Linked DNA regions of Canis lupus familiaris. The protein of the gene in region 4 interacts with the protein of the main gene of each other region in a pairwise test. Links are inferred from orthologs where the notes say so. Each region holds a gene or a part of one and is shown on either strand. Other genes may lie near its edges. The genes, in order: TXNDC17, MORN4, SLAIN1, EXOSC8, TFAP4 and DUSP23.

The links.
Region 1: the proteins of EXOSC8 (region 4) and TXNDC17 interact in binary tests that used the Homo sapiens proteins (3 or more experiments, as listed by UniProt). The two-hybrid records come from large-scale screens. The link is inferred for Canis lupus familiaris from reciprocal best matches to the Homo sapiens genes EXOSC8 and TXNDC17.
Region 2: the proteins of EXOSC8 (region 4) and MORN4 interact in binary tests that used the Homo sapiens proteins (3 or more experiments, as listed by UniProt). The two-hybrid records come from large-scale screens. The link is inferred for Canis lupus familiaris from reciprocal best matches to the Homo sapiens genes EXOSC8 and MORN4.
Region 3: the proteins of EXOSC8 (region 4) and SLAIN1 interact in binary tests that used the Homo sapiens proteins (3 or more experiments, as listed by UniProt). The link is inferred for Canis lupus familiaris from reciprocal best matches to the Homo sapiens genes EXOSC8 and SLAIN1.
Region 5: the proteins of EXOSC8 (region 4) and TFAP4 interact in binary tests that used the Homo sapiens proteins (3 or more experiments, as listed by UniProt). The two-hybrid records come from large-scale screens. The link is inferred for Canis lupus familiaris from reciprocal best matches to the Homo sapiens genes EXOSC8 and TFAP4.
Region 6: the proteins of EXOSC8 (region 4) and DUSP23 interact in binary tests that used the Homo sapiens proteins (3 or more experiments, as listed by UniProt). The two-hybrid records come from large-scale screens. The link is inferred for Canis lupus familiaris from reciprocal best matches to the Homo sapiens genes EXOSC8 and DUSP23.

The regions. Positions count from the first base shown.
Region 1 is NC_049226.1:30,900,979-30,905,031, forward strand, and holds TXNDC17 (thioredoxin domain-containing protein 17), read right to left. Parts: upstream 2,801-4,053; 5' UTR 2,699-2,800; coding exon 2,554-2,698; intron 2,132-2,553; coding exon 2,050-2,131; intron 1,305-2,049; coding exon 1,229-1,304; intron 629-1,228; coding exon 560-628; 3' UTR 449-559; downstream 1-448. UniProt on the Homo sapiens protein: Disulfide reductase. May participate in various redox reactions through the reversible oxidation of its active center dithiol to a disulfide and catalyze dithiol-disulfide exchange reactions. Modulates TNF-alpha signaling and NF-kappa-B activation.
Region 2 is NC_049249.1:11,062,080-11,065,579, forward strand, and holds part of MORN4 (MORN repeat-containing protein 4), read right to left. Parts: intron 1,831-3,500; exon of another isoform or gene 1,805-1,830; 5' UTR 1,797-1,804; coding exon 1,730-1,796; intron 551-1,729; exon of another isoform or gene 470-550; coding exon of another isoform or gene 412-469; intron 270-411; coding exon 155-269; intron 1-154. UniProt on the Homo sapiens protein: Plays a role in promoting axonal degeneration following neuronal injury by toxic insult or trauma.
Region 3 is NC_049243.1:31,288,914-31,292,853, forward strand, and holds the start of SLAIN1 (SLAIN motif-containing protein 1), read left to right. Parts: upstream 1-1,140; 5' UTR 1,141-1,172; coding exon 1,173-1,786; intron 1,787-3,940. UniProt on the Homo sapiens protein: Microtubule plus-end tracking protein that might be involved in the regulation of cytoplasmic microtubule dynamics, microtubule organization and microtubule elongation.
Region 4 is NC_049246.1:3,769,858-3,774,087, forward strand, and holds the start of EXOSC8 (exosome complex component RRP43), read right to left. Parts: upstream 2,801-4,230; coding exon 2,775-2,800; intron 1,743-2,774; exon of another isoform or gene 1,219-1,742; intron 1,081-1,218; coding exon of another isoform or gene 1,008-1,080; exon of another isoform or gene 940-1,007; intron 407-939; exon of another isoform or gene 1-406. Other genes in the region: ALG5 (dolichyl-phosphate beta-glucosyltransferase), read left to right, coding at 1,015-1,080, 2,785-2,956, 3,342-3,388. UniProt on the Homo sapiens protein: Non-catalytic component of the RNA exosome complex which has 3'->5' exoribonuclease activity and participates in a multitude of cellular RNA processing and degradation events.
Region 5 is NC_049227.1:37,390,406-37,394,377, forward strand, and holds the start of TFAP4 (transcription factor AP-4), read left to right. Parts: upstream 1-1,172; 5' UTR 1,173-1,324; coding exon 1,325-1,413; intron 1,414-3,972.
Region 6 is NC_049259.1:23,177,065-23,181,068, reverse strand, and holds the start of DUSP23 (dual specificity protein phosphatase 23), read left to right. Parts: upstream 1-1,204; 5' UTR 1,205-1,232; coding exon 1,233-1,499; intron 1,500-2,770; exon of another isoform or gene 2,771-2,964; coding exon of another isoform or gene 2,965-2,982; intron 2,983-3,403; coding exon 3,404-3,585; coding exon of another isoform or gene 3,586-3,589; intron 3,590-4,004. UniProt on the Homo sapiens protein: Protein phosphatase that mediates dephosphorylation of proteins phosphorylated on Tyr and Ser/Thr residues. In vitro, it can dephosphorylate p44-ERK1 (MAPK3) but not p54 SAPK-beta (MAPK10) in vitro. Able to enhance activation of JNK and p38 (MAPK14).

The DNA.
Region 1 (4,053 bases), on a different chromosome or scaffold from region 4:
TACTTTCTAGAGCCAAAGAAGATGCTTTAGGAGTAACAGTTCTTTATAAATTTGTAGCATTTATGGTAAAAGATGCTAACTCCTTTTGAGATTTGGAATTTGTTTTCTGTACTGGTAGAGACTTTTAGACATTTCTGTCACCTCCATAATCCATTCCCTTGTGCTATTACTGTCACCCTTGAAGACTTGACTTACCTACATCTTAAAGATTCCCATATATTACAAGCAAATTGAGAGTTTATGAGCATTTTAATAACACTTAAAAAAGATTTTATTTGACAGAGAGAACACAAGCAGGGGGAAGGGCAGAGGGAGAAGCAGACTCCAGGCTGAGCAGGGAGCCCGATGTGGAGCTTCCAGGACCCTGAGATCATGACCTGAGCTGAAGGCAGACGCTCAACCAACTGAGCCACCCAGACGTCCCTTAATGGCACTTTTTAGACATAAATCACTTTTTTACATCATTTATTTATTGCTAACATAAATTCAAAGCAAGTGTGCAATTGCCTTTATACTAGAGCAAATCAGGAAATCAAGACACAATTGCTATCATCAAATCTTAATCTTCAGAGAACAACATCTCCACGAGATTGGCCTGAAGACACTCAGATTCCACCAGTTTTTGAGGCTGTAAGAGAAGAACAGTCTAATCTTACCTGACAGCTACAAAACTGGGAGGGAATGTGGCAGGGAATGTGGTGTTCCACCTGGAGTGACACAAATCTCACAGCAGAGAACTTAATCGCCTTTCAAAAACTATCAACTAGTTGTAACAAGTCTTATGAAATAGTTAAGTTACTTGGCTCTGCATACTAAGACAAGAGACAGCAAGCCCAGTGCCATTCCCTCCCCTCAGCTCTTTAATTTAGAATGCCAGGGCCATGGCTAAACTTTCAATGAGGATTCTGGGTGAAATGGGAAACAAGTACTGTGCTAGTGTAAGAAATGAGGTGTTAACCACCATTCTGAGCAGTGAGTGGCACTTAGAGAATTTTAAAATGGAGTGCCTTTTACAAAGCATGAAGATCTAACGTTTAGATATTTGCATTATTAATAGTCTATTGGAATTAGCCCCAGGGATGGACAGCCAGTCTGTGTATTTTTAATGCACTCTGAACACCAATGTGATATTTGGGATGAAACGCCAAGATCTTTTCAAATTTGAATCCAGAACAAAGAGTTCTGATGTGAATTGTAGCCCCAGCATGATGAAAACAAAGACACTTACTGTTCCATATTTAAGTAGTGTAGGCACTGCTGTTACTTTCAGGTTTTTTCTGAAGTCATTATTTGGATCTTTCCAACTGTTTTGAAAAGAAAAAGTGATCATGGTTTCTTGTAGGTTACTTAATATTTGATATATTCCCACATTTAGTCTTTTAGTAATCACTGTTTTTGTTGTAAACATCAAACCTTGAGGGTTATGACTTTGGGACTATGCAGTTTTTTTTTTTCCTTTTTTTAAAGATTTATTCATGAGAAACAGAGAGGCAGAGACAGGCAGAGGGAGAAGCGGGCTCCTCGCAGGAGCCCAAGGATCACGACCCCAGCAGAAGGCAGACGCTCAACTGCTGAGCCACCCAGGTGTCCTCACGTCTTTTAAAGCGTGACTATGAACTAAAATAAACGTAGGGGATCCCTGGGTGGCGCAGCGGTTTGGCACCTGCCTTTGGCCCAGGGCGCGATCCTGGAGACCCGGGATCGAATCCCACATCGGGCTCCCTGTGCATGGAGCCTGCTTCTCCCTCTGCCTGTGTCTCTGCGCCTCTCTCTCTCTCTGTGACTATCATAAATAAATAAAAATTAAAAAAAAAATTAAAAAAAAAATAAACGTAGACTGCTAAGTTCTGAACTAATACTAAGCCAAATTCATTGACATCACCTGTAACATAAGCAGCTAAATGCTCAAAATTTGTAGATTCACTTCTAATGGCACGACTTTTCCCCACTCCTGAGGACGGAGAACCTGAGTCCCGAGGCCCCTCCCGCCTAAGTCTGCAAAGGTCCAGAGCCATGTCTGGGAAGTAAAGGGAAGGCACACACACTTACTAAGGTCTCTCTCCCACTTGGCAGTAAATGAACACACATCCTTCACTAATATGCTTCAGCCCCTCTCGCACGACAGGCTCAGCTTGAAAAACAAAAAAGGTATAAATAATTACATATGAGCTGTGGAAGGTCGCACAGAGAAATGACATCTGGGTGAGTAGGCAGGCTTGCACCTGCCCTGAGAGCAGCGGTACCCGAGCCTCGAGCGTCCTGAGCGCCCTGGAGAGGCAGGATGGCTGATTCACAGGCATGGAGTGCCGGGGGGGGGGGGGGGGGGGGGGGGGGGGGCGACCAGCAGGGCTAGGGACCCGAGGAGCTGGATGGGCTGAAGCCGGGGGGTTGGGGGGCACAGCAGGGCTAGGGGCCGGGGTGCTGGACGGGGTGTTGGGGTGGAGCGGGAAGGCGCGGGGGTGTGGGGAGCAGGGCTAGGGGCCGGGGTGCTGGACGGGCTGGAGCGGGGGGAGCAGGAGGACTAGCCACGGGCGCCCCCGCCCCCCGCCTCACCCTGCACGCAGTCGGGGCACCAGCTCCTGCCCCCGGCGTCTTTGGAGCCGGTGAAGTAGGCGAAGATGGTCTTGCCGTGGTGCTGCTCCACCGCCCGGCTGAACTCCTCGAAGCCCGACACGCTCACCTCCTCGCAGCCCGCCATCTGGACAGCGCGCCGCGCTGGGCTGGCCGGGACCCCGAGAGGCTGGGGCTCCGGGCGGGACAGCCTGCCGGGCGGGGCGCGGCTGCTTCCGGCGGGGTCGGCAGCAGGGGCGGGGCTGGCAGCAGGGGCGGGGGGGCCGACAGCAGGGGCGGGGGGGCCGGCGGGGGCGGGGCCGACGGCAGGGGCGGGGGGGCCGGCAGCAGCGGCGGGGCCGGCAGCAGGGGCGGGGGGGCCGGCAGCAGGGGCGGGGCCGACGGCAGGGGCGGTCCGCGGCGCTACGGAGACCTCAGGCGGCCATACGGCGTCGGTGTTGCCCCTGTGCGCCCGTCTCTCCGCGCCCCCGGCGCCGGCCCTCCGCTGATAGCCGAGTCTCTGCCCCAGCCGCCCCGGCCCCGGCCCCGGCCCCATGAGCGGTGGCTGCCCGGCCCGCCGCCACGCCGCCCGGGGACCCCTGGCTGGCTCGAGAGCCCTAACGGCTCCCAGGCCGCCCCGCGCCCGTTGCTATGGCGACCGGGCGAGCGGCCGGAAGCTCGGCCTAGCCGGCTCCCAGGCGGCCTCCCGGTAGCCGCCGCGCCGCAGGCAGGTGGGCTCGGGCCGGGACTGGGGGGTTCCGGGAGGTCGCGCCGGGAGCCGCGCCCCGGCGCTGGGGACGCCGAGCCGCCCGAGCACCGCGCTCCTGCGGCGTGTGGGGGTCCCCGGGGCGGGGTCGGGGCGGCGGCGGCGGGCTGCGTGCGCGCGTGCGGCCGGGAAGGCGGTGGGGGAGCGCGCGGGCCTGCGGCCATGAGCGGGGCGGCCGGCCGCTGCGTGGGGCCCAGCCGGCCGGGGCGGGGGCGCGGGCAGCCGTGGGGGAGGCGGTGCCCCGCGGGGACGCCGCGAGGCCGGGGAGCGGGCCGTCGAGCCCGGGGCGCCGCGTGGGAGGCGCGCTGCGTGAGCGCGGACGGGCCCCCCGGCTTCGGGCAGCCGCCGGGGACGGGGGCCGCGGCGGGGGCGGCGGGGGCCGGGGGGCCGGAGGCGGCGGGGAGCCCTGGCGCCGCAGCCCCCGTAGCGAGGGCCCCGGGGGTCGTGTGGGTGGACGGCGCGGTTGGGGAGCCCCAGGTGGTGGGGCCGGTGGGGTCGGTGTGGGTGACCGGGGCCGGGCGGGAGGCGGAGAGGGAGGGGGCGGCGGGCCCGAGCCCCCGGGGCTGCGAGAGGAAGGGGCGGCCGGGCTCCGCGGGCCACGAGAGCATCCTGGAACTGTGGCTAAAGGTGCAGGCCGTGCGGGCGGCCTCGGGGTGCGGGGCGGGCAGCAGGGTGCAGCTCCACCCGGTGCCGGTGGAGGGCCCGCTCGAAAGGGGCATCCCGGGCCGGGCTTCCTG
Region 2 (3,500 bases), on a different chromosome or scaffold from region 4:
TTCGGCTCCTTGCCATTTCAAATTTTAGATCTATTTATAAAGTAACTAATAAAAGAACTGCTTACTTCTCGCCTGTTTTCAGAGGGCCTGGGCCAAGCTCAGGTCTGACCAGCTATCACTATCAAAGCTGAAAAAAGAATGACCCAATACTTACCTTGAGCCATCTGAGAAGGTCAGTACCCCGAAGCCATTAAAGAGCCCATTCTCAAAATGACCCAGGTAGGTGCCACCATCTGCAAACATCAGTTGACCAAAACCATGTCTGCGGCCTAGGCAAAGAAAAAGACAGTTGTCAGGGTTCAGAGGCAGCTTCAGGAACACCCTCCTTGCCCAATCTCCCTTGTCTTTTGTCACCCCATGCACAAACAAAAGGAGAGAAGCAGTGATGTTAGCAGGGCAGAGAACTACTACCCAGAACAGGCACCAGGAAAATCCGGCTTCCAGGACCTTCCCATCTTGTCACAAGCATCAGATTTGGAGCAGGTCTCACTACGTATGAACAAGAGAGCACTTAAAAATAACACTAGCGGGCAGCCCCGGTGGCGCAGCGGTTTAGCGCCGCCTGCAGCCCAGGGCGTGATCTGGAGACCCTGGATCGAGTCCCACATCAGGCTCTCTGTATGATTCCTGCTTCTCCCTCTGCCTGTGTCTCTGCCTCTCTCACTGTCTATGAATAAATAAATAGAATCTTAAAAAAAAAAATAACACTAGCTACCATAGTGCCTTTACTCCGTGTCAGGCACCCTTCTCACTTTGTATTTATCATCCTATCTAATCCTCACGACATGAAGAGATAGGCACAGTACTATTATTATTCCCATTTCACGGATGCAGAAAGTAAGGCTAGGAGAAGCTAAATCACTTCCTTAAGACCACAGAGCTGTTAAGTGGCAGAGTAAGAATGCAAATGCAGTGGGCATCTGGACCGGAGAACTCTCAACACTGACTTATATGTTGCCTCTCTGAGAGAAAAAAAGTGCCACATGGCACCGTGAAGCTAGGGGACAAACTGAACAGTCGACTGATGGCAATGATTCAGGCTTTGTTATCCACTGAACTGACCAGAAAAATGGCACGATGCTGGAGGAGCAATCATGTCTTTCCAGGAGAGTACAAGGGAGTTCCTCTAAGGGATAGAGACTGCCTAGCAGACTGGCGCCTCTAACTGGCCAGATCTGAGGGGACGGCAGGTGTTGGGGAGGCAAGGTTACATCCCGTCTGTCCAGTTTCGCCTCTCAGGGCTCAAGAATTCATCAGCTACAGGTATCTAACGTGAAAAGAATGGGGTGCATGTTGAAACGGCCTGAACTCTTCCCTGGCACAACTGTTGGAAGTCACGGCTCCTCGGGGCAGTTCCTGGCTTGCCAGGACTGGCCCCATGAGGCTCTTAAATGGTCAGACTGTGTTTCTCAGGCTCTGTGGAATTTCACTAAGCCTGTGAATAGACACTTCCAAATGCAAGGAGCTGTCACAGAAAATTCAAGGAAATGACTGTCATTTGCCCTTGAGTATCTGTCCTAATTTCCAGGTCTTCCTTAACTTACTGGGCAAACAATGAGGTTTTCTAATTCCTTTATTTAATCCTAAAACCAAAGAAAGGCAAGGCACTATTCAGGTTAAATCCTGGAGTTAGACATGAAGACTCATGCAGTTGGCTTATCTAGCCTGATGCATTTGTCCTTCAGCCAAATGAAGTGTTCCTCACTTGATCCCCCAGGGATTCTCTTACCTTCCTTCCACTCTCCACGATATTCCTCCCCACTGGAGTAGGTGAAGGAACCTTTTGTCAGGGTCATGGTGACAGCTATGGAAGGAAGAAAAGGATAAAAACTGCAGGAAACAGAGGAGAGAACCAGAGTCACGGGATGGTTGGAGGAAAGGCTTGCAAAGCAATTTTGCAGAAACATTCTATAAACTAGCCCAGTGAGTATATATATTACCCTGGATACATTTAACAAACATGCCCACCTCTCCAACCTCCCCACCCCCAGATCACCTTGGCTCAAGCAGTCTTATCCTCCAACTTAAAAGTTATCAGCCTGGGGCACCTGAGTGACTCAGTTGGTTAAGCTTCCGACTCTTGGTTTCAGCTCAGGTAGTGATCTCAGGGTTTTGGGATCGAGCCCTGCACTGGGCTTTGTACTCAATGTGGTCTGCTTGGGATTCTCTTTCACCCTCTCCCTCTGCCCTTTCCCCTGACTCACACTCTCTCTCAAATAAATAAATAAAATCTAAAAAAAAAAAAAAAAAAGTTGTCAGCCAATTCCAATTTTCTATGACCTGAGATAGAAATTGAAGATGAATTTACAAATATTTGCTTGATACGTACTCTGTATTTAGTTGATGTATAAAATATGGTCTCTTCCTTCAATGAGTTTACAGTCTAGTTGGTAAGACTAGTAGCTGACATACTGAACAATAGGAGAGGTAATATAATTAAGTGCCAAACTGGATGGTAGAGATGTACAAAGACAAGGGATGGTTGGGGAGCCTGGGTGACTCAGTCAGTTAAATGTCTGCCTTTGGCTCAGGTCATGATCCCAGAGTCCTGGGATCAAGTCCTGCATTGGGCTCCCTGCTCAGTGGGGAGTCTGCTTCTCCCTCTCTGTATGTCCCTCCCCCTGCTTGTGTGTTCGCTCTCTCTCAAATAAATAATAAATAAAAATTAAAAAAACAAAAACAAAAACAAACCCACAAGGGATGGGCACAACTGAAAGCAAGCAGTCAAGAAAGCAAAGGGCGGCTGCCCATGGAGAAAACCTGAGGAATGGAAGCACAAACAGCAACATAACCTGGATGGTCGGTGGGAAAATATTAAGTTGGGTCTTATTGCACTTGAAGGTTTATTTAAGGAGTAATGGGAAATAAGTCTATCTAGGTACTCAGCCAAACTCTGAAATCTGAAAAAAAAAGCCTCTCAGATTGATTGATTGATTTAAAGATTTTATTTATTCATTCATGAGACACAGAAAGAGAGGCAGAGACACAGGCAGAGGGAGAAGTAGGCTCCATGCAAAGAACCCAATGTGGGACTAGATCCTAGGAATCTGGGATCATGTCCAGAGCCAAAGGCAGACATTCAACCACTGAGCCACCCAGTGTCCCAGCCTCTCAGAGTTAAATCCAAACTCCATCATTTCAAAGACGGAGAGAAGGAAGTGAAAAGCCAGTCAGTGGCTGGGCTGGAACTCGGGTCCTGGCCTCCCCTGCCTGCTGCTCATTCTTTCTCTCTCGTGTTGCACACTCTGCTTTTAGGATCAGGCCACTCTAAGGGGATCTTGGAAAGCTAGGCAGAAGAATTTACAGCTAATAAGGTGGGGGAAAGACGAAGGCTCTGGGGATTTTTGAACAGGCAAGTAATCTGAAAGGGGTGCTTGCGGAAAAACGAATGGGTCAGCAGGAAACAGGATGCTTTGGAGCGGCAAGAGCCCGCAGCCAGAAAAGCTTGCAAGGCAGATGTGATCATTCAGGAGACTGTGAAAATGAGCACAAATTACTCT
Region 3 (3,940 bases), on a different chromosome or scaffold from region 4:
CTGGATTCAATTCTTCTACCTAAAAGCCTCCCCCTGCCCCCCAGAGCAGATTTGCCAGTAGTTTCCAAAAGATGTAAGAAGCGCAGCTTGCAGGTGAGGTCAGGGATACTGGGATAGAGGTTTTGTTTTCCTCGGTTCCCTTCCACCCCCGTAAGTCAGTCTGACCTAATAGCTTGTAAATTATTAAAGAGATGGAGCACTATGCAATTTTACTCATGTTTCGCCTGTAATGATTTTTGCTTGTCCTGTTCACTGCGTGATGGTCAACTCTTAGAATCGGGTCTGGAGCAGTGAAGTGCTCCAAGGCCTTTTGTGTGATACGCGGTACGGAAAATGCTCTTGCTTTATCACGACCGGCACTGGTGGTAAAGGAATCATTTGAGTTCCTCCGCTTTAGGGTACACTGAGCACCACTGGGCTCTTCAGCAGCTGGCCTGTCTTAGAGGGACGTCTTCTTTCTCCCCGGCCTCCTGTCCCCCACCATTTTGCTTCTGTATTGCCAATTAGTGGATTAGTAGCACTGCCTCAAAGTCTTTCTGCTCCACGTTTTCACTTTTCAGCCCCGGGGTAACGTCCTCGGCCCTCGGGTTCTCCGCGGGCTTCGTGAGCCCGGGGCCAGTGGCTACGGCGGTTGGGCCGCAGCACGGCGCGGGCGCGGGGTGCGCGCCTCCAGGGCAGGCGCCTGCAGCGGGCTTCGGGGAACCCGGGCTCGCGGACCGCGCCGCGGGCGCTCGGCACAGCTGCGGCAGCGCCTCGGGCGGGAAAGCGCGGGCCGGGCCCCGCCAGGGCACCTGGGGGCAGGGCGGCAGGGGGCTCGCCTCCTCGCGCCGCAGGTCCCCGCCGGCCCCGCCCACCCGGCGTTCGCGCCCCGCCCCGCCCCGCCCCGCCCCGGGGCCGCGGCTAAAACCCGGAGCCGCCGCGCCGCCCGGGGGACCGGAGGGCGCTCTGAGCATGTGCAGAGCCGTTCGGCGGCGGCTGCCTCGGCCGGAGGCTGGGCCCCGGTGCTGATGCGAGCAGCCGGCTCGGCTCCTGCCCCAGCGTGGTCGGCGCCTCGGGCCGGGGCGGCAGGGAAGGAGCCGTAGCCTCCCCGCGGCCCGAGGAGCGGCGCGGCGGCGCGTCCCCCCCCCCCCCGCCCCCCACCGCCCGCGGCCGCGGCGCCCCCGGGGCCCACGATGATGGCGGAGCAGGTGAAATGCGCCTCGACAGGGGGCGGCTCCGGAGCGGGCTCCGGGCCGGTGGTGAACGCAGAGCTGGAGGTGAAGAAGCTGCAGGAGCTGGTGCGCAAGCTGGAGAAGCAGAACGAGCAGCTGCGGAGCCGGGCGGCGAGCGCGGCCGCCGCCCCGCACCTGCTGCTGCTGCCGCCGCCGCCGCCGCCCGCCGCGCCGCCCCCCGCCGGGGCCTGCAGCCCGTTGGGTCCCCGGAGCCCCCCGGCCGCCGCCGCCGCCGCCTCGGGGGGCCTGGGGCTCGGGCTGGCGCTGGGCGCCGGGGGCGGCTGCGGCGGCGGCGGCGGCTCCAGCCCCGCGTTCCCGGGCACCTTCTGCCTGCCCAGCCCGGCACCCTCCCTGCTCTGCAGCCTGGCACAGCCCCCCGAGGCGCCCTTCGTCTACTTCAAGCCGGCGGCGGGCTTCTTCGGCGCGGGCGGCGGCGGGCCGGAGCCGGGGGGCGCGGGGACGCCGCCGGGGGGAGCCCCCGCGCCGCCCTCGCCGCCCCCGACGCTGCTGGACGAGGTGGAGCCGCTGGACCTGGAGAGCGTGGCCGCCTGGCGGGACGAGGACGACTGCACCTGGTATTGCCGAGCTCCGCTCCCTCCCCCGGGGGCCCGGCCTCGGAGGCCCGGGGAGCGGGGTGGGCGTGGGCCGGGGCAGCGGGGGGGGGGGGGGGGCTCGCGGTCGCCCCCGGACGCGGTGGCCTGGCAGGTGCCCAGGTCCGCGAGGAGCCGGGGCCTTTCCCGAGGGCGAAACGTGTTTCTCGCAGCTCAGGCTGGCGCCGCCGGGGATGGGCCGGTCCCCTCCGTCTCCGCGGGCCCGCGCCCTGCTGCAGCGGCCCCCGGCGCCGTGGAGCAGTCACCGAAGAACCCGTGCCTTCTTTTTGTTACTCGGTCCAGCTTCCCGCCCGCCCCATCATCTGGGGGGAGGCACGGGGGATGGGGAGGGGTTGGCCTCCGTCTGCGAGGCCAACCTGGTCTTTCCTCCCCGGCGGACCTGGGCAGGGTCTGTGCGGCGGGGGGGTGCCCTCCCGTGGCTTCCCCCGCCGCTTCCCCAGCCGCCGCCTCGGAGATTCGTTCTTGCGGTTTGAGCTGTGCGGTCGCACGTCCTCGTCCGCTGCATTTTCCTTGATCGCCTCTCATTTCAAAGCCTGACTAGCTGTTTTGAGATGTGCTGCCCTCACTGGCTTTCCTGTCACTAATGGTGTCAAAGATGGGGGCAGCTTGAAGACACTTTACTTCGAAACCAAGGATCTTTCTTTAATTCTTTTTTTTTTAAATCGAACTGTTGATTGAAGAAAAGGGAGATTAGAGAAACTTTATTATAATTATAATCATTATTTTTTTAGAAACTAAGTTATCTAAAAACCTGTGGCTGGCAGCAGCATTTCACTGGAAATCTGGTTAGCTCTTCTCTCCATCAATGAGTGACTTTGAAGGGGAGGGTCCGGTTACCTTAGTGTTTTTACGCTACGTTCTCATGGAGTGAGTTCCTTTCGTGACCTACTTCTTTTGGTTGCTTCATTTGCTTTCCTCCATCTCCTAGGGGTAGTGGGACAGGGGAAGATGAGTAGAAGCCTCAGAAAGTGGAACTTTGATTCCCGCAGGGAAAATGCACAGCATTCACCTTTAAGTAGCTGTGGCAGGAAGAAGAGTTGGAGCCCTTCTTTTATCTCGGGTTCTTCCTGCTCCTGGAGGCTGGATTTCCCTCACTTTCTCTGTGGTCCTGTTGCATGATCTCACACGGAGGAATGGGAAATGGAGACTCTTACTGGTTTTCTGTTGAGACCTGTGGTGTTCCTATATACTTAGAGCTCCTGACTGCAAAGTACATTAATTGGTTTGAACTGCAGAATCCAAACGTATCTGGAGCATCTCCTCCTCCTCAGTACTCTCCCTGTTGGCAGGCAGCTGTGCTGGTAGCTCAAGTTGTAAAAACCAAAACAACTCCCCACTTTTGGGAGCTTTATAAGCCGTACTTTAGATATTACACCTTTGTTTTTCTGTGAAGCCCAGGCTGTATTGTAAACTCAGTTTCAGCCTGAACATGGCACTAGAAAATGCTCTCATGTTGGTCGTTCTTAGGTTATAATAACTCTAAGCCCATATGTTGCTTTCAAATTACGTTACATTGATTTAGTTCCCACTTGGCCTTTTCTGGAAATATGTACTTAAATGGTAGAAGGAAACTTGTTTGTGTTTTTGATGGGCATCAATCCTGTACGTTAAAAGTGTTAGCATTTTTAAACGTATTATGATATGCTTATAATTTTGGAAGTGTATTCAAATGGGGTAGTATATACATAGCTAATATAATAGTATTTTCTTCCATTGAATGGACTTCTCCCTATTGTCCAACTACTGCTAGAATTTTGATATGTAGGCTTTTTTTTTTGTAGTTTGTTTTTTGTCAAAATAGTATTGAAATAACTTTGGGGAAAAAAAATGACCTGCTCTGTGGGATTACTTTGTTAGCACTTCAGATGGTTTGAAGTGAATGTAAAGTATAGCAGGTTCTACTAATTTCACTCATCAGCTATTTAGGGGAGTACATAAATCAATGCCTTGACGCTTTATAGATGTTTCTACAGACAAGTGGCACATTGTTTTATGGCCTATCTTTTTCATTTGTTTGTTTGTTTGTTTTAATTTTTTAAATTTATTTATGATAGTCACAGAGAGAGAGAGAGAGAGAGAGAGAGGCAGAGACATAGGCAGAGGGAGAAGCAGGCTCCA
Region 4 (4,230 bases):
TCCGCTCGGAGGAGCCCAGCGCGCCTCTAGGCTTCTTGGCCTCGGACGCGTTTTGTCGAATCTGCTATTGGGAAAGAGACGGGTGTGTCTCTTTAGAAAAACGGTATGCTAGCTCAGGAGTTTAAGGGAAAGCCGACCTTATTGCCAGGAATTGAGTGAGTATTAAGTGTGGGGCATTATTCCAGAGCTCCTGCGTCCTTTCCCGCCTCTGTCTCAGGCTGGGCCCTGGGCGTGCCTCACCCCAAGGGAAGGGCTCCCTGGAGCTCCAGTTGCTGAGCAATCACGTAAACTCTGTGCGCGCTGGTGATCGCCCCGCGGTACACTCTGCGGGCCCCCGGAGGGGCTCCTGAGGAGCAGCTTGTGCCGTGGGCTGCGTTTGTTCTCAAAGCCGTCACCTCCCTCCTAGGTAGGTTTGCCAGACGGAATACAGAACATCCAATTAATTTTTAATGTCAGATACACAAGCTAATTTTTCCCCACTATGAGTATACCCCAAATAGTACATGTTATTAGTTGTTACGGGGCGGGGGGCGGGGGCGGCTGGGAGCGAAGAATGTTTTAGAAATAGATAATGGGTGCAGGAAATTGTGAATGTAACCAATACCACCGTATCGTACCCTTAAAATGGTTAAAATGGCAAATTTTATGCTGTCTCCGTTTTTAAAGACTCATGGAATACAATAAAACCTTTTTAATGGGTGGATTGCACGGTGCGTGAGTGCTGTCTTAAGACGGCTGTCGAAAAGCCGCTCACTGCCTACCTGAAATTCCGACTGGGTGGAATCCTGTGTGTGCCTGCGGGTTCTGTCAGCCCTGCGGGGAACCCGGCGCCCGCCTCTGCGCGCGAGCCTGGCCGCCAGGGACGGCGTGTGCGCCGCCTGGCCGCGAGGGGCGCTGTGGGCGGCGGGCGGCGGGCGGGCTCGGCCGCTCTGCCGGCGGGAGGCGGAGCTGCGCGGCGGCGCTTCCGCGTGTGTGTAGGCGCTGGGGAGGGCGCGCGGCAGCCGGGTATGGACGATGATTGCGCTCCTGCTGCAGCTGGCTGTGCTCGGCGTGGCGCTGGCGGCCGCCGCCCTGACGCTGGTGAGCAGAGGGCTGGGGACCGACGCGGGCCTGGGCTCCGTCCTCTCAGAGACTCGGCCGCCACGCAGCCTGTCCTCTGCCCCGCACGCTTCGACGCGTCCCTTTCCCCCCACGCTCTCCCCCGAAACTTGACCAGGATTTCCTCTCCTAGAACTTCACAGCCCCTTTCTTCCCTTCTTTGTCTTTATTTTGGAGCGTTACCTCCCTCTGCGGCCAGGCCCTTGTAACGTTGGTTCCCCGGGGGACGTGCGCCCCCGTCAGCCTCCACCGGCCCCGCCGCCCCCGACCTCTGCCCTGTCAGTCCCGACCTCTCCACCCCTTCCTCCTGCATCTGCAGCCTGTGCAGTTCCGGCTGCACCCGGGAAGGTCTCGAGCCCCCCCAGGAGGTTTGCGCTCCCTGGACTGACCCTCCTGATGCGGGGAAGCAACTAGAAGGTGGTGACAGCTTTGACGAGAGCCATCTGCTAGAGATTGGGGTGAATCAGTGGATCAAGAAGACCCAGGAGGGACACAGTAAGGCCGAGGCACGCAGGCCTGCTGTTACCGTTGTCTGGCAGTCCCTATGACCCGGGATTAAACACCCTAAATTCGCTGCCTCTAAAGGAGGGCACAGTAGAATTGAGACTCGGATTTTCTTTGCCATCACTCTGGAAACAAACATTGTAAGCACTTGCTGATTCATTAGTAATGGTTTGCCAAGTGAGCTTTCTCCCTTATAATTTGGAACGAGCCTGCCATCCAGTTAGTACGTGGAGAGGTTCCAGCTTCCTTGACACCCAGATTAGCCCCCCTGACAGCACTGCTGGGAAGGCCGTTCTTCCGCCTTGCCGGGTTTGCACACTTCACAGTTTAGAAATAACTTATAGAGAAAAAGCAACGTGTCCTGACTTCTTCGGTGATTTGTGTCGGGGTCAGAAAGGAGTCCTCTCTCTCCGTTAGGGGTAGATGGAGATTTCAAGGTTTTCTCAGGTTTTTGGTGGGGGCAGAGTTTTGACAGAATCCTAAATTGACTCTGTTTATTTGATCTATCTGTTTTATAGAATTAAATGGGTGCATTTTGAGGATGAACTGGAAGTATTTGATCCTACCAGCTTGTGATTATAAGAGCTACTATTTAGGGCACCTGGGTGGTTCAGCAGTTGAGCATCTGTCTTGGGCTCAGGTCGTGATCTCGGGGTCCTGGGATCGAGTCCCACATTGGGCTTCCCGCAGGGAGGCAGCTTCTCCCTCTGCTTATGTCTCTCTGCCTTTCTCTTTGTCTCATGAATAAATGAAAATAAAATAATTTTTTAAAAAGCTAACATTTATAGAGGACTTATAATTTGGGGGTATTGTATTCAATGTTTTATGTTGTGCGATCTTTAAAACAATGCTAAATGAATGTTGTCATCATTAGCCAGGGGTTGGAGATTCAGGGCATCTTAAAATGGATTGCACTTCTCTGGTGACTATTCCCTATTAAATCTGGGATGACAGAGGCCTAGGGATGACAGGTGGGAAGACACAGCTCCTAAGGCATTAGTTCCTACCAATGGAAGAAGGACAATTATTAGTTCATAAGTAAGGGATTTGAATTTGGTGTCACCTCCAGACCATTCTTAATGGACTAAAAACTGAGAGTGAACATTTAACAACAACAATAAAAATCACATAAATGATGTAATCTTACATAATATAGTTTCTTGTTAACATACCTACTTTTAGATTTCCTTTGTTGCATTTATAACTGCTACAAAAATGCCACATCTCCATCAACATGAAGAGGAGAAGTTCTTCTTAAATGCCAAAGGACAGAAGGAAACTTTGCCCAGCGTATGGGACTCGCCTACCAAACAGCTCTCCGTTGTTGTGCCTTCATACAATGAAGAAAAACGGTGTAAGCCCAATTTCATTTTTGGGATATGGGGCCATTGGGAAGAAAAGGAAATTTAAAGTATGAACTTTACTATCTTTGTGAGAACATTAGTAGATGTGGGCTCTGATGAGTGCATAGTTGGTAGTTGTAGTTCATGAGAGTGGAAACAAATGCCAGCTATAAAGAATACGGTCAGCATCATGAAGTCATAGGACTGAAGTGTTCTAGAGAGACATTAAGCTAGTTGTGGACAGAAAACAGGCCTTCTAGTTGGGAAGGGCCACTGGAAGAGGTCCGAGAGGGCTCTGTTAGACTATTCAGACTTTTTCCATATGTAAACTGAGTGGGGGCTTGGCAAATCATTTTCGAAAACAATTTTTCAGAGATGTATTTTTTTTTCTTTAAGTGCCTGTAATGATGGATGAAGCTTTGGGCTATCTGGAAAAGAGACAGGTACCATATTTCTCTTTCAATATGATGTCCCTAGTTAAAACTAGACTAAATCACCAATTTAGAGATCCCAGGCTAGATCTGTTGAGAGAGGCAGTGCCAGCCATGCCCAAGCCGTCGAGGTCACCAGGGCCTCCTGTGCTCAGCTTGTCCCCTTCCATCACGGGTTAGCATGCAAGCCCAGCACATGACACGCTACCTCCAGACGCACGCAGGTGGGTGAACCCAGAACAAACGGAAAGCAGAAATTTCTTATGTACCCTCCCAACCACTTTGTATGCTCTTGCCTGATGATATATTTAAAATTAAGTATGTCTGCAGACTGTGTGGCAACACGATGCTGTTTTTACTTTAGTGACTTTTTAAAACATTTATTTGAAAAAGACTTAGAGTGAAATTGTTTTTCTTTATTATTCAGAGGAGTTCCGCTCATTTATTTTCTCTACTTTCCCTGCATAAATAGAAGAAAAATAGTATGTGTCCTTGTTTTGTATCATCAGCTGCTGCTGGAATCTTCTTGGAGAGTTTAAGGAAACAAAATGAGCTTTGTGGCTGGTCCGTTTTTTTTTTTTTTTTTTTTTTTTTTTGGTCTGGCGGGGGTTTTTAAATGAGAAAACAGGCTAAAACTCTAACTCATCCAATATCATAAGTTAGAAATAGTGTGGCCAGATTAGAATTGCACATTCTAACCTCATGGGCTTTTTTTTCTCATACATATTTGTATCCTCTCTCATAAGTGCTCAGCACCACAAGCACCTGGCTACTCCACAGATTCGGTGTGGGTAGGCAGTCAAGGGGGGAGCAAGAGTCGGTGTTTGCCCTCTCCTCCTGTCCCACCACTCTCC
Region 5 (3,972 bases), on a different chromosome or scaffold from region 4:
CATTCCGAGGCAGGCGTGGTCTTCCTGAGCCAGGGGCCAACCCGACAGAAGCCAGGGGAGGGGACTCGGGAGGGGGTACGGAAGCGGGCCGCCGCAGCGTCCTTGCCCCCCCGCCCCGGGCATCACCGTAGTAGAGAGCGCACCCTGGCGGAGGAGCAGGTCCCGCACGGCCTTAGGCATGAATGGGAAGCTTCGGGCCTCCTCTGCTGTCCAGCCTCCCCGCGGAGGGGGTAGTGGGAGGGTGGCTAGTGAGGGGGACCCGGCGGCAGCCACCAAATCTGCGGGCCGCTGCCGTCCTGGCCCGCCTCCAGCCTTCACTCCCCGCCGGGGCCCCCCGTTTCTAAAGGCAGCCCCAGGATCTGAGGCGCCCGGCGCGCCCCCTTCGCTCTGCACCCCCCCCTCCCCGCCCCCCGGCTCCGAAATTCCCAGGCTCCGGAGCCCAGGCTGGGCGGCCAACTGGGCAGCCAGGGAGGGAGGGGGCTGGCTGGCCTCCGAAGTCGGCCCCAAGTTACATGTGGGAAGAGGTGGCTGTGACGCAAGTTTCCAGGGGGCCCTGGGCTCGGAGGGAGCGCGCCAGAGCGGCTCCTCTCCATGCAGCTGCAACCCGAGCAGCACCCCAGGCCGCCTTCGCCGTCTCCGCGGGGCCCAGCTGCGCGCCCGCCGTCCCCGGGGGCCGCCGAGCGCGGAGACCCTGCACCGGGCAGTCCCCGCCGGACCCCGGACTCGCGGGCTAGGCTCCCTCGCAGTGGCTGGCCTTTTTTTTTTTTTTTTTTTTTTTTTGCAACGCTTGCCAACCTGTCAGCTGATGGACCTCATCACCCATAGTGGCGCATGTAGCTCGGCCGCAGCTCGCTCCATTCACACCGCGCCCCCCAGCCGCCCCACGGCCCCCGGCTCCCAGTGCCGGGGGGTTGGCCCGCAGACCCTGGCTGCCACTGGCCCCCGGGGGCCGGCGCCCCTCTCGCCCTGGCCTCGCGCAGCCCCGGGGGCGCTGCAAATAGTCCTTTGTTTACATGCAATTCCTTACTCCGCGGAAGGAGGCCGGGGGAGTGCTGAGTTTTCACCAGCTGTTTCCCGCCTTGAAACAGACATCTGATCAGCTGCAAACACACACACACATACACACGCCCGGGGAGGCAGGCCGGAGAGACCTCCCTCCCGCCCCTCCCGCCCGCCTCCCTCCCCTCGCCGCCGCCGCCGCCAGCATCTGGGACCGGCCGTTTCTGCACCTCCGTCCGGCGCTGCCCTTTGATTCGGATTTCCATCTTGCATTCTCCGGCGGACCGCGGGACCCGGCTCGTGCAGAGGAGGGGGGCCGATCGCTATGGAGTATTTCATGGTGCCCACTCAGAAGGTGCCCTCTTTGCAACATTTCAGGAAAACAGAGAAAGAAGTGATAGGAGGGCTCTGTAGGTGTGTACTCCTCCTCCCCCCCACCCCCTTCCCATGATTGCAGCCCCCGGCCAGCCCGCCCGGGCAGGCGCGCGTGTGCGCACGCATGGCCCGCGCTGCCAACCCCGCTCGCCTTTCTTAGCCGCCGGGGCGGCTACAGCCCCGCGCGCCGGGGTTGCGCCGCCGGGGGACCCTCCTCCCCCGGAACGTGGGGGCCCCGAGCGGCCCCGGTCACTTTTGTCCGCTGCAGGCGGGCGAGTCGCGACGTTTGTAAATTGCAAACAGACCCACGTGGTTCTGCAGCAGTCCCGGCCATGCTTGGTGCTGGTGGCTTTCCCCCCCGCGCTTCCTCCTCCCCCCTCCCGCGGCGGCTTCCTTCCTCTCCCTCCTTCTTCGCTGTCTCTGGGTACCCCCCTCCGTGGCGGTTTGGGGGGCCCGGGCCGCGCGTGGGGCCGTGGCGCGGGCGGCTACAATGCAGCCACGCCGCGGCTCTGGGCGCGAGGGGGGGATCCGGGAGCCGGGTAGTGTGTTTGTAGGGTGCGGGGCTGCGGCGGGGCCGGGGGGCGTGCTCGAGTGGGGGCGCGGGGATGGGTGGGACCCGGGAGGCCGGCGCTGCCGGCCGGGGGCGCCGCGGACCCGGGCACGTTGGCGGCCGCTCGCTCGCTTGCCGCCCGCGCCCGGGCGCTGTTTACTAGCGAGGCCTGGACGTGACTCTGCAGCCCTCTTGGAGTAGGCGGACCTCGGCGCGCCGCCTCGCGGGAGCTGTAGTTCCCCGCGCCCCGCCCTGCGGCATTGTGGGAGTTGTAGGCGTGCCCGGGCCACGCTTTCCTCGCACAAAGCTCAGCTCCCGAGGGCCGGGTGCGCCAGGCGGGCCCGCGGGGGGGTGCCTTTTGGGGAGGGGGCACCGGACAGTGCCCCTGGCCTCGTGAGGCCGTTGCCCGCCGCCCGCGGGGCTCGGCTGCAAACTTTCCCAGCCCACGCCCCTCCCCCAGCCCTAAACCGAAAGCGTCCAGCCCCACCGTGGGTGGGTGACCCCGGGGCCGCCGCCTTCCCCAGGAGCCACTTCCCAAGCGTGGCCTCGGTCGCTCCAGATCCATCCTTCACCAGAGGGTGACGGGTGCGCGCACCACTCACATCCCCATTCCCCTGGACCCTTGTTAAAATGCACGTGCCCGCCACTCGGATGGCCAGGAGGAGGACGGCCCTGTCCCTGAGCGTCTGCACCGAACTCGGCCCGCGGGACACGGCGGTGCTGCGTCTGGGGCTTCCCTGGGTGCCCCACTTGGGAACCTGCAGACCCCTTAGAACCCCGCGGCTCCTGGAGCGAAATGGCTCCCTAGGACTGGGGCCACGTGCTCAGCCGCCAGGGTCAGGCTGGGCGGGGATTGAGGGAGGAGGAGCCGGGGCGGCGTGGCCCGCGCTGCTGGACAGCAGGGGCTGCAGAAACCGGGTTCGGGGACGGGACGGTGGCTGCTCCTGTACACACACCTCCCCACCCCGCCCCAGGCTCCCACCTCGACGGTTCTAAAGTTCGGAGTCATGTGCAGCCAGGGGGGTGGCCACCCTGGGTGCTGGCCCTTCCTTAAGGTCTACCAGAAGGGCCTCCCTGTAATAAGAAAAAAAATTCTGGAGCTCTTAGTATGTTCTAGGGACTCGTTTTGATAGATTTTTTTTTTTCTCACTGAATTTTTACACTCTGCGTCCTGAGTTAAGCGGCCTTATACACATACACTGTATGGGGTGAGGACATGGGCTTGAGAAGGGAAGAGTTAGTTACAGCAAGTGTTGGGGCTGGGACTTGAACCCTGGTCCCAGAGCCCTGCTCCTATCCCTCGTGGCTGGTTGGTTGTTCAGAGAATGGCTGGGTAGGACTGTTTGAGCCTGATCCTGGGTAGGCTTAGCACAGTGGGGACCTCTAGCCACCAGGTCTGAGACTTAGTTGAATCCTCTCTTGACCTCCCAGGACTAGGAGTTATACTGTCCCTGTCCCAAACCCTGCTTTAGAGGAGTCTAGCAGTCTCCAGGGGTCAAGTGCCCCAGGCTTGGGCATGGGGACATGCTCAGCCTGCCTATCTATGAGACAGTTGAAGCCTGTGCAGTGGGTGTGGAGTTGGGACCTCTGGGTTTGTTCATTTTCAGAAGCTGTGGGGTGAGGTGGGATCAAGTGTGTGGGTTGGGTGAGAACTTCTGGCTTTATGGATTGGTTTCTGAGGCTGGGATCTTGTTCTATCCCTCAGTGACTAGGAGCACTCTCTGCCTCATCCCTCTCCCAGACCTACTGGAGGGGGCCATACTGCACAGTGGGCACCCCCACCCTGAGTCACCCTCAGAGCAAGGCTCATGCCCCAGCTGTGTGGTTTTGGACCTGTGTGGTCTCAGCATGTGCCACTTCAGTAAAATGGAGCACCTGTGAAGGTTAGGCTGTGTGTATGGAAAGTGCCAGTATCTGTTAAATTCTTAGAAGCAGGAGCACTGTGATCTTAAAGTGTTTACCTCCTGCCCTTGGGGGGAAAGAGACCAGTGCTCAGAAGGAGTTAGGGAACAATTAGGGGCTTTGGAGTGTGTGTGCTGGGTCCCTGA
Region 6 (4,004 bases), on a different chromosome or scaffold from region 4:
TAGGTGCCCTGGGCCCGGCCTGCCCAGCCACATCCCAGCTGCATGTCCTCGGCCGCGTTAACCCACCTGGGTTAGCCTCCGATCACACGTGTACAAAGGGGACCCAAACACACCGTCCACGTGTTGCTCTTCCAGAAAGCACTAGGCGCAGGGCCCGGGACAGCAGCAGATTCAACGAGGGCTAACAGCTCCCATCATTATGATCGGCCTGCGTCACCAGAAGCGCATTGTTCAGATGAGGACACGGATGGGTCAGGCCACAGCCAGCTCGCCCCATGGGAGCTGGGTCTCCACCATCGGGAGCAACGCCGGTGACCTCTGGCCGCCCCACGGGAGGGTGACACAGCCAGCCTGGAAGTCCCGAAACACTAAGAGAAATTCAGAAACCCCGCAGTTGTGGAACCCCGATGCTATTTGGGAGCGTGAGGATGGTCACGGAGGAGGGAACCAATACTGGGCTGCAAAGAGGCCGGGGCCAGGCCGCCTGCTTCCAAACCCGCAGGCCCGGAGCCACCTCGGCCAGGTTCCTGCAGCTGCGGAGCCTCAGTTTCCCCATCTGGAGACCATGGTTCATGAGGGCACCCGCTTGGTGAGATTGCTGCGGCTGGGTCGGCGATGTTAAAGGAGTTAACGCGGGTAAAGTGCTGTGGCAAGTGCCCAGTAAACGTGGCTTCTTCCGTCCGCAGGCGGCAGCCCCGGGCTGGGGGGTCCCCGCAGCGCAAACGCGGGACAGGCCTCCGCACGGCGCCGCTCGCCCGCACCGCCCCGGGTCGCCAAGCCCCTGGGACGCAGCGGCCATCCCGGCGGAGGAGGCCCGCGCGGACCCGGGGCGCCCGGGGCCCAGTCGGAGCGCGGAGGTCACGCCCGGGGTCGGCACGCGCGGGGACCCCGCTGCGCTGACCGCCACCGGCCGCCAGGGAGCAGCAGAGCCCGCCCCCGGGCGGCCCCGCCCACCCCCGGCGCCGCCGCCTGAGCTGCACCAATCCCCGCGCGCACCGCCGCCGTAAGCCCGCCCAGCCCCGGCCGCCCGGCCAATCAGCGCGCGGGCTGCCCCGGCCCCCGGCCTGCCCGCGGCGCCCGGCCCGTCACTCAGGGCCCGCTCGGCGCTGCGGCCCCGCCCCCAGGCGGCTCGGCCAATCCCCGCGCGGGGCGGGGGCGGGGCGGGGCGGGGCGGGCCCACGTGGTCCGGGCGGGGGCGGGCGGGGCGGGGCGCGGGGGGCGCTTCCGCGGCGATGGGCGCGCAGCCCCCCAACTTCTCGTGGGTGCTCCCGGGCCGGCTGGCGGGGCTGGCGCTGCCGCGGCTCCCCGCGCACTACCGCTTCCTGCGGGAGCAGGGCGTGCGGCACCTGGTGTCCCTGACGGAGCGCGGGCCCCCGCACAGCGACAGCTGCCCCGGCCTCACGCTGCACCGGCTGCGCATCCCCGACTTCTGCCCGCCCGCCCCCGAGCAGATCGACCGCTTCGTGCGCATCGTGGACGAGGCCAGCGCGCGCGGGGAGGTCCGCGGAAAGGGCGGGGGGCGGGGCACAGGCGGGGGCAGCGGGGGCAGCGGGGGCAGGAGGGGGCAGCGGAGGGCAGGGCGGGGGCTGGAGGGCGGGGCCTGCAGGGGTCAGCCGGGAGGCAGGGCGGGGACAGGAGGGGCAGGAGGGCGGGGGGCGGGGCAGGAGGGGGCAGGAGGGCGGGGACAGCGGGGCACAGGGCGGGGACAGCGGGGGACAGGGAGGGAGCAGGAGGGCGGGGGGCGGGGGCAGGAGGGGGCAGCGGGGGACAGGGAGGGAGCAGGAGGGCGGGGGGCGGGGGCAGGAGGGGGCAGCGGGGGACAGGGAGGGAGCAGGAGGGCGGGGGGCGGGGGCAGGAGGGGGCAGCGGAGGGCTGGGCGGGGGCAGGAGGGCGGGGGGCGGGGGCAGGAGGGGGCAGCGGGGGACGGGGAGGGAGCAGGAGGGCGGGGGGCGGGGGCAGGAGGGGGCAGCGGGGGACAGGGAGGGAGCAGGAGGGCGGGGGGCGGGGGCAGGAGGGGGCAGCGGAGGGCTGGGCGGGGGCAGGAGGGCGGGGCCTGCAGGGGTCAGCCGGGAGGCAGGGCGGGGACAGGAGGGGCAGGAGGGCGGGGGGCGGGGCAGGAGGGGCAGGAGGGCGGGGACAGCGGGGCACAGGGCGGGGGCAGCGGGGGACAGGGAGGGAGCAGGAGGGCGGGGGGCGGGGGCAGGAGGGGGCAGCGGAGGGCAGGGCGGGGGCAGGAGGGCGGGGCCTGCAGGGGTCAGCCGGGAGGCAGGGCGGGGACAGGAGGGGCAGGAGGGCGGGGGGCGGGGCAGGAGGGGCAGGAGGGCGGGGACAGCGGGGCACAGGGCGGGGGCAGCGGGGGACAGGGAGGGAGCAGGAGGGCGGGGGGCGGGGGCAGGAGGGGGCAGCGGAGGGCAGGGCGGGGGCAGGAGGGCGGGGCGGGACAGGAGGGGCAGGAGGGCGGGGACAGCGGGGCACAGGGCGGGGGCAGCGGGGGACAGGGCGGGGGCAGGAGGGGGCAGGAGCGCGGGACCTCGCGGGGCTCCGGGAGAGGGGGGAGGGCCCCCGCAGGCGCAGGGCAGTGGGGAACAGGGGGTGACCGCAGGGGGGAGAGGGCGGGGGGCGGGGCAGGAGGGCGGGACCTCGCGGGGCTCCAGGAGCGGAGGCGGGGCCCCCCCTGCCGAGACTAGACCGTGAAGCCCGGGGCCGGGGTCAGCGGGGGCAGGAGGGCGGGACCTCGCTGCGGGGCGGGGCGGGGCGGGGCGGGGCGGGGTTACGGGAGGTGGAGCCAGGGCAGCGGGAGGGCCCCGGGCCGCAGGGAGTGTGGCGAGAGGAGAGGGAGAAGCCGGCGCACGGGGAGACGCAGGTGGGAGGCGGCACCGCTGCGGGGTCTCGGGGCCACCCGCCTCCCACACACCCCGACTGGAGCCACCGTGTGACAGAGAAGGGTCAGGGAATCTCGTTTTGATGATACAGCGAAACCCAGTAAGTCAAAGTGTTAGGGTTTCTCCGTATGATCAACGCAAATGCTAAATGGCGGTAGGTCGTGCCTTGCACCCCGTGCAGAACCCGGTGGTTGCACCTCGGGGCGCAGGTTGGACTAGCGGCCTCTCCCACGCGCGGTGGCTTCTGCACTGGGAGGCGCAGGGACAGGGCTGCGGGGGGCCGGGAGCCCAGCACTGGAACCAGCTACGGGGGAGGTGATTGGTGGCCTCCACGCCGCCAGGTAGGGGACAGCTGTCCCTGACCTTGACATCCCCTCTCGCCCCCGAGATCCTTGCAACACCTGAGGGGCCCCAGCCCGACCCAGAAGAGGCAGGTGTAGAAAGGAGGCTCGCGCAGGGGAGGAGCGGGAGAGCCCCAGGGAGGGCATCAGACTCGGCCCCATCAAGCCCCCTCTTCCCAGGCGGTGGGAGTGCACTGTGCCCTGGGCTTTGGCCGCACGGGCACCATGCTGGCCTGCTACCTGGTGAAGGAGCGGGGCCTGGCTGCCGGGGACGCCATCGCCGAGATCCGACGCCTTCGACCTGGCTCCATCGAGACCTACGAGCAGGAGAAAGCCGTCTTCCAGTTCTACCAGCGGACCAAGTAAGGGGCGCGGCGCCCTCCCCTGAGCCTCGTGTCTGCTGGGGCCGGCGACGCAGACAGACGCTGACCCTGCAGGCAGGCCCCGACCCCCGACCAAAGGCGAGCTGTGGCCGTGCTGGGGGAGGTGGGGGGGGTGTCAGGGTTGCGGTGTGCACAGCTTTCCCCACGCCAGCCCCGTGAGCTGGGGACTGTCCTTCAGATGAGGTGGCTCAGGCTCTCGACCACACTTCTAGAAAGTGGTGGGATGGGCCAGGTCTTCAGCCCTTAAAGAGGCTAAGACCGTTCTCTGACAATCCCTGGCCTGTCTCCTGGGGAGCTGGTCAACGGAAAGGACACAGCCCCCCAGCAGCCCAGGATCTCCGATGGTCCCCGACCGGAGGGCCACAGGGGACACCCCCAGCCGAGGCCCGCCTGCCCCT